Linked DNA regions of Rattus norvegicus. The protein of the gene in region 1 interacts with the protein of each later gene in a biochemical or structural test. Links are inferred from orthologs where the notes say so. Each region holds a gene or a part of one and is shown on either strand. Other genes may lie near its edges. The genes, in order: Smad2, Zfyve9 and Ski.

What was found.
Region 2: the proteins of Smad2 (region 1) and Zfyve9 are reported together in a solved structure, tested with the Homo sapiens proteins (2 studies listed by BioGRID and IntAct, with this or other methods). The link is inferred for Rattus norvegicus from reciprocal best matches to the Homo sapiens genes SMAD2 and ZFYVE9.
Region 3: the proteins of Smad2 (region 1) and Ski form a complex in vitro, tested with the Homo sapiens proteins (4 studies listed by BioGRID). The link is inferred for Rattus norvegicus from reciprocal best matches to the Homo sapiens genes SMAD2 and SKI.

Annotation. Positions count from the first base shown.
Region 1 is NC_086036.1:72,123,923-72,128,197, reverse strand, and holds the start of Smad2 (mothers against decapentaplegic homolog 2), read right to left. Parts: upstream 2,855-4,275; 5' UTR 2,698-2,854; intron 2,620-2,697; exon of another isoform or gene 2,435-2,619; intron 1-2,434. UniProt on the Homo sapiens protein: Receptor-regulated SMAD (R-SMAD) that is an intracellular signal transducer and transcriptional modulator activated by TGF-beta (transforming growth factor) and activin type 1 receptor kinases.
Region 2 is NC_086023.1:128,692,360-128,695,937, reverse strand, and holds part of Zfyve9 (zinc finger FYVE domain-containing protein 9), read left to right. Parts: intron 1-515; coding exon 516-2,542; intron 2,543-3,578. UniProt on the Homo sapiens protein: Early endosomal protein that functions to recruit SMAD2/SMAD3 to intracellular membranes and to the TGF-beta receptor.
Region 3 is NC_086023.1:171,062,080-171,066,258, forward strand, and holds the start of Ski (ski oncogene), read right to left. Parts: upstream 2,879-4,179; 5' UTR 2,116-2,878; coding exon 1,147-2,115; intron 1,069-1,146; exon of another isoform or gene 94-1,068; coding exon of another isoform or gene 10-93; intron 1-9. UniProt on the Homo sapiens protein: May play a role in terminal differentiation of skeletal muscle cells but not in the determination of cells to the myogenic lineage. Functions as a repressor of TGF-beta signaling.

The DNA.
Region 1 (4,275 bases):
AACTGCAAAAAGTGCCAGGCATTTCCCCCACCCCAACCTGGACATCGGACATCGTTCTTAGTGTCATAGGAGCTAACACAGCCCATCCGTCCCTCCTAGTGCCGTCCTTTACACCTGACAGAGAGCAATGCAAATAGCTTCAGGAAGTGGCTCTGGATGAATTATGAGTGCTCAAGCTCAGCTTATGCTCTGACATAATTAACCTCCTTACTTTGGGGCCTTTGGCCAGAAGACACAGGATTTTTATTTTCCTAATTCCACTGAGAAGTGTTGTGACTAGCCACAGAAAGTTTATTGTGTAAGTACGTATTACTTGTCCAATAAAGTGATACTGAATTCTTTATAGTCAGTTTCTGATACACCTTTGCAATACTTAGTAGAAAACTTCTTTGCACTCACAGAAACCAAGGGCCTAAAAATGTCTCTTCTGCTTTTACCCAGACAAAGCATCTAAAAAGATATGCCTCTCTCCACCCTCTAAAAAGGATTCTTGTCCCAAGAATATGAATAAACCTCCATCTGCCAGACTACACTATATACAGCTCCTGCATGCATTACAAAAGCACCTGGATAAAAAGGCTGCTGCAAACGTGGTTTCTGGAGTCCAAAGTATTCAGCCAACAGCATCCAAACCAAGCACGAAGGGAAACGGTTAGGCCCACAAGTCAAATCTAAAAACCCAAAAGGTCCTTAAGCACCAGTTCATGCAGCTAAACTACTTACGTTTGCCTGTGTGTTCACTCAGCCTCCCTAATGATAGTACTGACTACTGCAGCATCATCCTATATGTATACACAAAGGAAAGGGCTATACAGAAAACCATCCCCAACAGTCCTAATATGAGTTAAACCACACAACCAAGCCCAACGGGAAGTTACTCTGCAGTTTCTCCCAACACTGACTTTATGAGCCACACAGGGTGCATAGCTATTTACTGACAAGTACCTCAGAACCCCAAAGACCAAATTTTGCAGAACACTCTCAATATGAAATCACTTCAGGTGTACCTACAAAATTGCAACCAACAGTATTAGAGTAGTGTCTTGCTAAGGAACACAAGGAGGTTTATAATCCTAGTCCAGTGATTAAGCCTGGCCAGGGAGGACCCTAAACGTAGGTAAGTCAACTATTTTGTAACATTAAGCATGTACCTGGGCACTCAGTTTAAAAATGTCCTAAGACCACAACAAATTCTCTTACCTCCACAGGTAAGTTTATGCCAAAATAATTTTTAAAAATAACATCGATGTTACTTTATGAATTCAACATAAACATTTGCTAAATGACCTAATGAATTAGAAAAAAATCTCTTTATGACTAAATGGGAGAGGGATAAAAACCTTAAAACTATAATACATTTTGCTTCTCTCATGTCTGGATTCCATCTGCTTCACTAACTCATGGATTGAAACTATTCCAACTTCGTTTTAACTACTTAACACTTCTTTGTAAAGGGGGAAATTGCTTTTTACAGGAACCAAAGTAAACTAATAGGAAAGATATTCCCAGCATGGCAGCAAATGTATTTGTGTTAGGCTCAAGAGAAAAATCCTTTCTATTAGCGGTATGGGGTTAAGTCATGGAATTAGAAATAAGAGATTTTGGAAACTGACATTCCAGGGTGCCATTTTTGTAAAGATAACCTTCAGGTTACATTTATTTACATATGTCATTTCATTAGTTAAGAACACCGCCGTTTAGAATTCCCCAACAAGGCATAACAATAAGGTGGAATGCTGCTGAACTATTTCACATGTTTTGTTTTGTTTTTAAATTGGTGTGACAACAAACAGGTAGCGTTTGCCTTTAAGTGTAAAAGAAATGAATAACAAAACCAACCTCGATTTTTATTTTTCTTTTGTTTAGATTCACAAGGAAACCCTAACCTGCAAGGGTAAGAGGACAAAAGTACCTGGGGCCCAAGGACAGTATTCCTAGAAGAAAATAATCCAAGCACCGACTGTGAAAACCAAGTCTGAAATAAGTGCACTCAATTAGCATGCTTCCTAAAGGCGTGTGATTAGAAACTAATAGGCAGTACCCACGGAGCAACTTTCCCAAGTGCGTGGAGGATGAGCCCGGCAGCCTCAGCCACGAGCGTGTTTCTGAGTGCACACTATGATTCGGAACCCACGACTGTTACGGTTAACAAAGGCCACAGGAAAGAAGAAAAAAAAAAAAAAAAGGAAAAAGTAGAAGCAAAGTACCACACGCCCCTAACTCGGCTCCGGAGCCATTCTGCAACGCAAAGCGAGAGCGGCCGCGAGCCGGGACAGAAGCGGGCCGCAGCCAGGCTGGGCGGGGCGGGGGCTCGGGGCCCTGCCCACGGCGCCGACCCCGGCCCGCGCGCCACGGCCCGCCACACCCCACACGGGCAGCCACGTGACCCGGCCCCGCACACCCCTGCCCGGTCCCCCGGGCGCCCCGGCTTTACCTGCACCCAGCGCCTGGTCCCGGCCCGTCCGAGCCGGGCCCCGGACCTTTTGTTCCTTCCTCTTCCGACGGGCTCCGCGCTGCCGGAGGAGTGGGCGCGCGCAGGCGGAACTGCGCCGCGGGCCCCCGCCCCGCCCCCAGGCCCGCGCTCACCGCGGCCGGCTGGGGAGGGAGCCGCCTGCTCCACTCGGCGCGGCCCCGCGGCCCGGCACTGCCTGCACCCCGCGCCGCCGCCGCCCTCCGCCCCGGCCGCCGCGCACCTACCTTCGGGCGGCTCGCTCAGCGCTCGCGAGCTGCAGGCGAGCGAGCTGCTCCTCCACCGCCGCGCGCGGTAGCCCCGCCTCCCTCCCCGAGCCGCGGGCCCCGCCGATTCGCCGGCGCAGCCCCGGGCTGGCACCCTGCCGCCCGCTGATTGGCGCCCGCGGCCGCCCGTTAGGCGTGAGGCACGCCGGCCGAGCGGGCGCGCACGGAAGACGGAGGGAGCACGGCAGGGACGGAAGGAGGCCGGGCGCCGCGGGCAGGGCCGGGGGCCGAGCGGGGCGCGGGCAGGCGCGGGCCGCCGCCTCCCGCCTCCGGCCCGACCGGCGGCACGCGCAACCAATCAGCGAACGGGGAGCCCGGGGTGTGAGCACCGCGTCGGGGGCCTGGAATCGGAAGGGAAACGTCGCTCGCTGATTGGTTCCGCCTTCCCCGTCGAGCGTGAGGCGAGGCGAGGCCGGGTTGGGTGGCACGCCCGCGGTTGCGCTTGAGTTCGTGTCCGGCGCGCTCCCACCGGGCTCCGGGAGGATCGCGGAAGGCCGCGCAGCGTGCCACGCCCGCAGACCCCCGCCCTGGCGCCTCTGGGTGGAGCGCCGCGGCTAAGCCCTCGCCCACCTCCGTCGTGAGGCCGGAATGGACACGTGCTCGGGCCTGGGCCCGCCCCCAGCCGGGTCTGAGTCGCTGGACTGGCAAAGCTCTGGAGAAGCCAGGGTGCTGGCCGCTGAGGGGCGCGCCCTATGCAAATAAGTGGGCGGGGCCGCGCCCTGGGGGCGGGTGGCGAAAACTGCGGAGCTAGGGTTCTTGTCCGTGGGGTTGGTGTTAGGGCTGGGCCCCTCCTTGGGTGTGTTTCTCCAACCCGAGCCGTAGGTTCTTCTGAAGTAGAACTATTAGTGATAGCTGGTTCGAATGCTCATTGTGAAGCATGAGCAACTATGAGTGCTCCTTGATTTGCTGGCTTCTCCCTAGCTCATGTCCCTAACTGTGCCCCTGTTCCTAGACCCGTACTTCTCACCAAGTTCCCAAATTTAGGACTACCCGCAGTTTGATTTTGACTCAACCCTGGCAGATGAAAGACTGTGTTAGGATAATAAACCTAAATTTGAAATGCCTCTTTCAGGTTGCTAGTGGTAAAGAAAATACCAGAACGCAGTTTGCTTGGCTGTTGGTCATGCCCATCTATACTTAGCTACCTCTTCATAGGATTCCTGGGAGAGGCAAGTTAGTCCAGCAAGCCTCATGAGCACGACAGAGGAGTGCAGGAGTAACAACACAGTGTGCGAAGCAGTTAGGAGTGGAGCATGCTCTCTCCTCAGATGTGAGGGCATCCAGAGCAGGGGCCTTTATGTGGTCCTTGAGTTGTTTGCCCTTCCCTCCAGACTTAACAGGTTTTTAGATAGGCTTTCAAAATCTCCACCACTCTTCTCATGGGAAAGATGTAGCTCGCCCCAGATGCAAGCCAGTCATAGTTTCAAATGCAGCTCTACTCCAAATCCAAAGCCTTTGCCATCATAATACCAACTCACATGTTATAAATGAAAACTTAAATGTTATAGATGTCATCGTTATTAAAGAAATCATGAATGC
Region 2 (3,578 bases), on another chromosome or scaffold:
ATTTATTTCAATCTAATAACACAATTAAATTGACATAAAATTCATTTGTTGTTTGTTTGTTTTTGTTTTTTTTTTCTTTTTCTTCTTTTTTTCGGAGCTGGGGACCGAACCCAGGGCCTTGTGGTTGCTAGGCAAGCGCTCTACCACTGAGCTAAATCCCCAACCCCATTTGTTTGTTTTTTAAGACAGGATTTCTCTATGTAGCCCTGACTGTCCTGGAGCTCACAGAGATCCCCCTGCCTCTGCCTCCTGAGTGCTGAGGTTAAAGGCGTGCACAACCACTGCCCAACTATGTTATTTGAAATGTTCTGAGGCATTATCATTTGTTGACAGATAATTATAGGGCATTGTCTTAAATGTTTTTTTCTTATGTCTAGCTAAAGATTAGATACTGTCATATTCTGGGGACATTTTCTCCAAAGCATAGTTGGAAATATCTGTCAGGTAACCCTAAGTAGCTTTTTACTGTTACCAGCAAACTTACTGTAATTACTTTTTTTTTTTTTCCCCTTCAGATGAAACAGTTTCTCCTACTTTATTGGATACAAAGTGGAATAAGATTTTAGATTCCTCTTCTCATCCATTGTCTTTTAACCCTGCATTAGCCAATGTGAATGAACCTACAATTTCTAATGAGACAGGACCACAGCGGAAAATCTTTTCTCTTGCTGGCTCAGCTCCCCTTACAAGGGAGGGAAAAGGTCCCTGTGCTAACGGACAGGACGGTAGTCTAAATCCAGAGATTGACACGATGTGGATTGATGAAAATGCTGTGGCAGAAGACCAACTAATTAAGAGAAACTACAATCAGGATGATCAATTTAGTGCCGTTGAAGTGGGAGAGGAGAAACGTGGGAGCCTCACTTGTCTGCCAGACGAGAAGAATGTTCTGGTTGTAGCTGTCATGCATAACTGTGATAAAAGGACACTGCAAAGTGATTTGCAGGATTGTAATAACTATAATAGTCAATCCCTCATGGATTCTTTTAGCTGTTCACTGGATAATGAAACTAGACAAACTGATCAATTTAGTTTTAGTATGAATGGGTCCGCAGAAAAAGGTATAAACTCAGAGAAACAAATGGATGCTTTGAATAAACCAAAATCAGAGAGGGATTCTCTTAATCATCTCTGCGCTGCTTCAGCTAACAGTGCAACCAGTATCTCTTCCTCTTCACAATTAAAGGACAATGAAAATGTAGGTAGAGACCCATCTACATCTACAGCTACAAGCTTAGCAATTAATACATCCCAGGGAATGGATGGAGGGCCTGCCATTAAAAAACAAGAGGATTATATGCCTGATGAGGACCTTTCTGGCGCAAACAGCTCTTCTAGGACAGATCTAGGGAGCTCAAACTCCTTTTCCCACTCAAGGGAGGAGCTCTTAACAAAAACAGAGCCAGCAGAGGAGAGGACAGCTGAAGACCCCCTCCCATCTGGTTTATCTTTGAATCTCAAGCCAGATACTCCTGCTTTATGTGGAAGGGACAATTGCGAACCATCCTCAGACTGCCTTGTGTCTAGTGAGACTAGAACTGATGGAGATGGAGGTAAGGACTCTCAGACGACTCACTGGGACTCAGCAAAGCTAAATGAGGTGGATGATCGCCAAGGAAGTGAAGAAAATCAAGTGGTTTTACAGATCAGCCAACCTGAGGACCCTCAGAGTGCAGGAGAGTGTGTTAGAATGGCAGATTCAGATCTAGATTTCAAAGGAACTTGCTTGAATGAAAGTGAAGGATATGATTTCTCCACTGTTAGTGATGCACCAGCAGCAAATTCTCTGTCTAATAGTTGTGATTCCTATGGAATGCAGAGCCCAATTGTATCTTTTGTTCCAAAGACTTTACCCTCCAAAGAAGATTCAGTAACAGAAGAAAAAGAAATAGAAGAGAGCAAATCAGAATGCTACTCAAATCTTTATGAACAGAGAGGAAATGAGAACACAGAAGGGAATGGACTGCTTTTAAACAGCACTGGAACTATAATGAAGAAAAATTATTTACATAATTTCTGTAGTCAAATCCCATCTGTACTCGGGCAATCTTCCCCCAAGATAGCAAACCTGCAGTCTATTAGTGTTCCTTTTGGTGGTGCAAGACCCAAGCAACCTTCTAATCTTAAACTTCAGATTCCAAAGCCATTATCAGACCATTTACAAAATGACCTTCCTGCAAACAATGGAAATAATAGTAAAAACAAAAATGATATTCTTGGGAAAGCAAAACTAGGGGAAAACTCAGCAGTCAGTGCGTGCAGTGCAACTTTGGGAAACATCTCTGTGACTGATACAAATGGGGAACATTTAGAAAGTTTCGAGGCTGACATCTCCAGTAGACCATGCCTTGCATTATCTCCAGATAGTCCAGATAATGATCTCAGAGCTGGTCAATTTGGAATTTCTGCAAGAAAGCCATTTACCACCCTGGGTGAGGTGGCACCAGTATGGGTACCAGACTCCCAGGCTCCGAACTGCATGAAGTGTGAAGCTCGGTTTACATTCACCAAAAGGAGGCATCATTGCAGAGCATGTGGGAAGGTAAATTGCATTTATCAGTTCAGGAACTTGCCGTGTTTTGTAATGATGAACCAAAAATTAAAGCAGGATTAGGTGACTGTACTTCTAGTTTGAGATGACCTTATAAAAAGCCTTTGAAAGCCCAGTCTTAGTATCTGTATAAAATATGAGCTGATTGTGGGTGTCTTTTTTTTTTTTTTAATTGCTGTCAGAAAGTATGCTGTCTCAGTTTTCTGTGAAGAAAAGAGAATTGAGAATTAAGGAAGTGTTTACTCTGTGGTCTTTACATTTGTAGCTGTTTGTAGATACATGATTAATGGGATGGTTTGAAATAAGGATGTTGTTCTTTCAACTTAGGACATATTTGTGATTTACTTTTTTGTTGTTGTTCTCTATTTTTGTTGTTGTTTTTATATTTTTGAAAAAGGGTATGGCCATATAGCCGTGACTGATCTGGAGGTCCCTTTGTAGAGACCAAGCTATCCTCAAACTTGCATCAGTTCTCCTACTGTTTACTTAGTGTAATGATTACAGACATTACAATCCCTGTGGTCAGTGGTTGATTTTATGATATTTTATAATTAAACATTAACTTACAGTCAAAATTTATCCTACACTCTTTTTTTTAAAAGATATGGTTATTTTTAATGAATGTTCTACCTTCATGTAAGTGTGTATGTGCACCTTGTTTTGCCTGGTGTCCACAGAGCTCAGAGGGAGGCATTCAGTCCCTTGGAACTAGAGTTATAAATGATTGTGAGCCACCATGTGGGTACTGAGAATTGACCCCATCTCCTCTGCAGGATCAGTGAGTGCTCTTAACTGCTGAGCCATCTCACAAGCCTGATCCTGTACTTGTTTTTACATAGAGTTTTTCATGTACCAAATGTTCTGAAGGTTTTTATAAATACATACACATATTTTCTCCTATATGACTTTAATGCAAATATTTAAAGGCTATAGATCTTTATTCTTATTAAAGATATATGAATAATTTAATATTCCTTAGCTCTCTCCAAATTCTGTTAGGAACACAATTTTTTAATACTTATTTGTA
Region 3 (4,179 bases), on another chromosome or scaffold:
ATCCCCCACCCGGGGCACCAGCTGAGGTAAAAGTGCCTTAGAACACACAGCATATGCACTCCCTCTGCAGCCCCCAGAGAATGAGGCGACCATCCTTCTTCAGAGCCCCTCCCCCCACAACTCTGACACTCTGCTGGAGGGGCGCCCAGAGAAAACCGGGCTGCAGCATCTATTCACAGATTTAGAAAAAAAAAAAGTTTGATGCAATAGCTGAATTAATTAGGTCTCCCAAGAATAGCTGAGCCAATGCAACATTCTGTGTGTGCAATTTAATAAGCCTGGATATTTAAAAGTTAAAGACACTTAGGATGCATATGCAAAGAAACTTCCTGTGGACTCCAGTGAATGATTTAGGTACCAAGTGGCCCAGGAAATGCCCAGGCAGATCTCACAAAGCTTTCTTTGACTCACATACAACACAGCCTGGGCTGACAGGCCTCCACACCGAGCAAGAAGAGCAACAGAAGGAAATGGGTGAGTCCAAGTAAACTGCAGACCATCAGCAACTCCCGCAGGCCAGGCCACTGACCACGACAAAGTAGCCTCGGCCGAGCACAACTCGGGGGTTGCAAGTGCCAGGTCTCTGCCAAGACAACTGGCTTGCTTCACTTTAGCTGTCCCTGCCCCACGATTTAAAGACAAAACCGGAGAGGCAGTAAATATGTATGGATAGTCAGCTGAGGCTCACAGGAAGGCATCCCTCCCGGTCATCAGTCAGAGAGAAAGGGGGCAAACTTCATTCTCATGGGGACATCTCTGCCAAGGTCCCATGGAGATATGGGCCAGAAAGTCACAGCCTCTAGAGTCCAGGTACTCTAACCTCCCAGAGCTTAAGGTGGCCTCTTTCTCAGACCTTCAGAGCTTACTTAACCTGTACGGTCGAGGACTATGAGCCCTCAGAGGGCTTTCCCGTTCACTCTACTCCATAGGTGCAGCTCAACAGACAGCACGAAGGTGGCCTCATGGCCTTTCCCACAAGAAACTGATGAGACCCCTACTTTCCGAAATCAAAACAACCCAAAGCCAGATAAGGTCGAACCATGAGCCCCAAGCCTTTACAACCCACAGTCCCCAGAGCAGAAGGACCCCACCCACCCACCCACCTTGGGCATAGCTTGCCAACTCCCAAGACCCGGAGACACTTACCCGGGGCACCCTCCGCTTGTACTTGTTGGCATAGTCGAACTTCTCCTTCACGTCGTCCAGGCAGCGGCCAAGGCGGGCCTGCTCCTCCTTGCCCGTGTAGTCCTGGCTCAGCAGGATGTAGGCCCGCCAGTTGGCTGAGTCGAAGCCCCAGTGGCAGGTCCGGTTCTCCAGGGCCTTGTGCGAGTGTACAACGAACTTGTGCGGCGGGTACATGAGGCGGCAGTCGAGGCACTGGATGCAGGCGGCGCTAGGACTGCTGTACAGCTCGGGCACCAGCAGCCCTTTGCACTTGCCGAAGCACTCGTGGTACACGCGGACGCTGCGTTCGCTGAGCTCCAGGCCCAGCGCCAGGCTGGCCGCCAACTCCTTCTTGCAAGGCGGCGGGTAGGCGCCGCCGTAGAGCAGCGCGTTGCACAGGCGCTCCGCGTCCGTCTTGGTGATGAGACCGCAGGAGGGCGCGGAGAAGGGCAGGATGCCCATGACTTTGAGGATCTCCAGCTGGTCGGCGGTGCAGCGCGAGCAGTAGATGTGCAGCTCATCGCACACCGAGTTGATCTGCTGCAGTGAGAAGTCGCGCAGCACCGAGTTGAGGATCTGCGGCAGGCACAGACGCTTCTCGCCTCCCACCACGAAACAAGAGATGGTTTCCCCTTCCAGCACGGTCTCACAGCGCTCGGTGGAGCGGTCCGACGGCATGAAGAAGGGCCCGGGAAGCACGGGCGGCGGCGGCTGGATGGCAGGCAGGTGCAGCACGGGCGGCGGCTCCGCGGCAGTGGGCACCGGCGCCGGCACTGTGGCCGCACCCGCCTCCTTGGCGCTCTCCTTCTTGTAGGCCTCCTGCGCCCAGCGCGCCGAGAAAGCGGCCGGGCCGCCCAGCGAGCTCATGGAGCTCAGGTGGAACTGCTCCAGCGTCTTCTGCAGCCCCGGGTGCGGCTGGAAGCCGCCCCGGCCGGCCGCTGCAGCTTCCATGGTGCGATCGGGCTCCCCCGGCCGCTCCCGCTCCCGTGCGCCCGGGCCCCCACGGCCTCCGCCGCCGCCCCGCGCACCCCGCCGCCGCCCGCGACCGCGGCCACGACCGCCCCCCGTCGCCGGCTCACGGCCGATCACGGCCCCGGCCTCGGCCTCTCCCGGGGGCGCGAAGGCGAAGGCGGGCGGGGCGAAGGGGTCCCGCCGCTGGAGCCCGCCGCCGCCCGGGCCCGGCGCCACATCCACGCGCCCCGCGCCGCGCCCGCCGCCGCCCGGGCCCCCCGCGCGCCCCCCGCGCGCCCCCCGGGCTCTAGGCGCCGGGCATGCCCCGGCGCGCGCCGCCAACGCCAACGCCAACGCTCGCGGGCCCGGGGCTCGCGGGGGGCGCGCGGGCAGGTGCCGGCGCCGCGAGGCGCGAATCGCCGCGGCAGCCGAGGCCGAGGGGCCCGGGAGGAGCGGGGGCGCGGGCGCGGGGCCCGCCGGGCCGTCCTCGCGCGGCGCGCCGCCGCTGCCCCGCTCCTCCCACCGCGCGGCGCCCGCTCGGCTCGTCCCGGCGGTGCTGACCGGCCGCGTCGCGCCCGCCGCCGGCCCCTGGCGGCCTGCCCGCCCGCGCGGCCGCCTGCCGGCTCCCGGCCGTCCGCTGGCCCGCGCGCGCGGCTCCCGGACGGCGGAGGCGCCTCTGGCCCGCGGCCTCAGAGCGCCGCGGCGGCGCGGGGTTTTGCGCGCTCAGCGCACATCTTTCCGGCGGCTCGCTCCGGCTCGGACTGAGCGCCCGGAGCTGAGCTCACGCCGCCGCGCGCCGCCCCGCCCCGTACCGCCCCGCCCCGCCCGCGCCAGCCCCGCCTCCCGCGTTGTTTGTTGCTGTGCGTCCGCCTCAGCCGGAGTGCGGGCCAGGAATGTGACCAGCTCTGGGCAGGCTCTTCCAAGAACGCGCGCTCCCCCTCCCGGGCTCAGTGGCATTCGGCTACGCCCGGACCGAACTCGGCCAAGCTCGGCTTTGTCCGCCCACAGGTCGACTCCGCTCGGGTTCCCCGTCCCGTAGCTCGGCCCCTCTCGGCACTGCTCGGCCCTGCTCGGCCCTACTCGGTCCGGGCTCGGCCCCGCTCGGCCCTACTCGGTCCTACTCGGCCCCGCCTTGTGGAGGCCACTGGAGGCGGCCACAGCGGAGGCGCCTGGGGCCCCCCTTCCGGCCGAGGCCGCTTCCTGCGCGGCTGGGAAGACTCCGGTCCTGCTGCCACCACGGTCTTGGGGGCCCCCCGAAACCCACAAGGCCCCCGCCACAACCACAGGCCAGCTGAGTGGCGGTCCGCAGCAGATCTCCGCTGCCGCCCTTCATCCCGGGGTCCCCATTCTACGGAGACACTCCGAAGTAACCTTCACTCCCCCCACTGCTGGAAGTCATGCTCCACGAGACATTCGTAACAAGGACACCATAGAACAAAACCCAGGTTCCCTCCCTCATAGCAAGGATGCCACAAAACATTCGGGTTCTGATACAAGAACGTCTCGAGGCACCCTACGGTCTCCACACACCCCTGTCTCCATATGATAGGGGGAACACAACGCGCATCCCAGGTTACATAAAGGACACCACAGAACACTCACGCCAGGTTACTCTATGATGAGAAGATGGCACAAAACCCCATATGCCTACACAACCAGAACCTCACAAAGAACCACCCAAGGTCTCCATTGCAGAAGGACTGCACAAAGTACTTCTGGGTTTCCATGTGTAGAGAGAATACCACTTGATATACAGAATTCTGCACCCAAGAACGACACAGGATTTGCAGAACCTAGGAGCTCACAGCATGACATGGGGATGCTGAGATGCATAAGAAATACAGCTGTGGCACTTGCCTAGCAAGTGCAAGGCCCTGGGTTCGGTCCCCAGCTCCGAAAAAAAAGAAAAGAAAAAGAAAGAAAGAAAGAAAGAAAAACAGCTGTGGAAAGCAGGCTACATGGACTACCCCATGAACTGTGATCCAGTCTCTCACCAGTGACATAGGTACCAGCAACATCTGTCTACTGGACCCTGTTGAGTGAGGTGGGAACTTTGGAACGGAA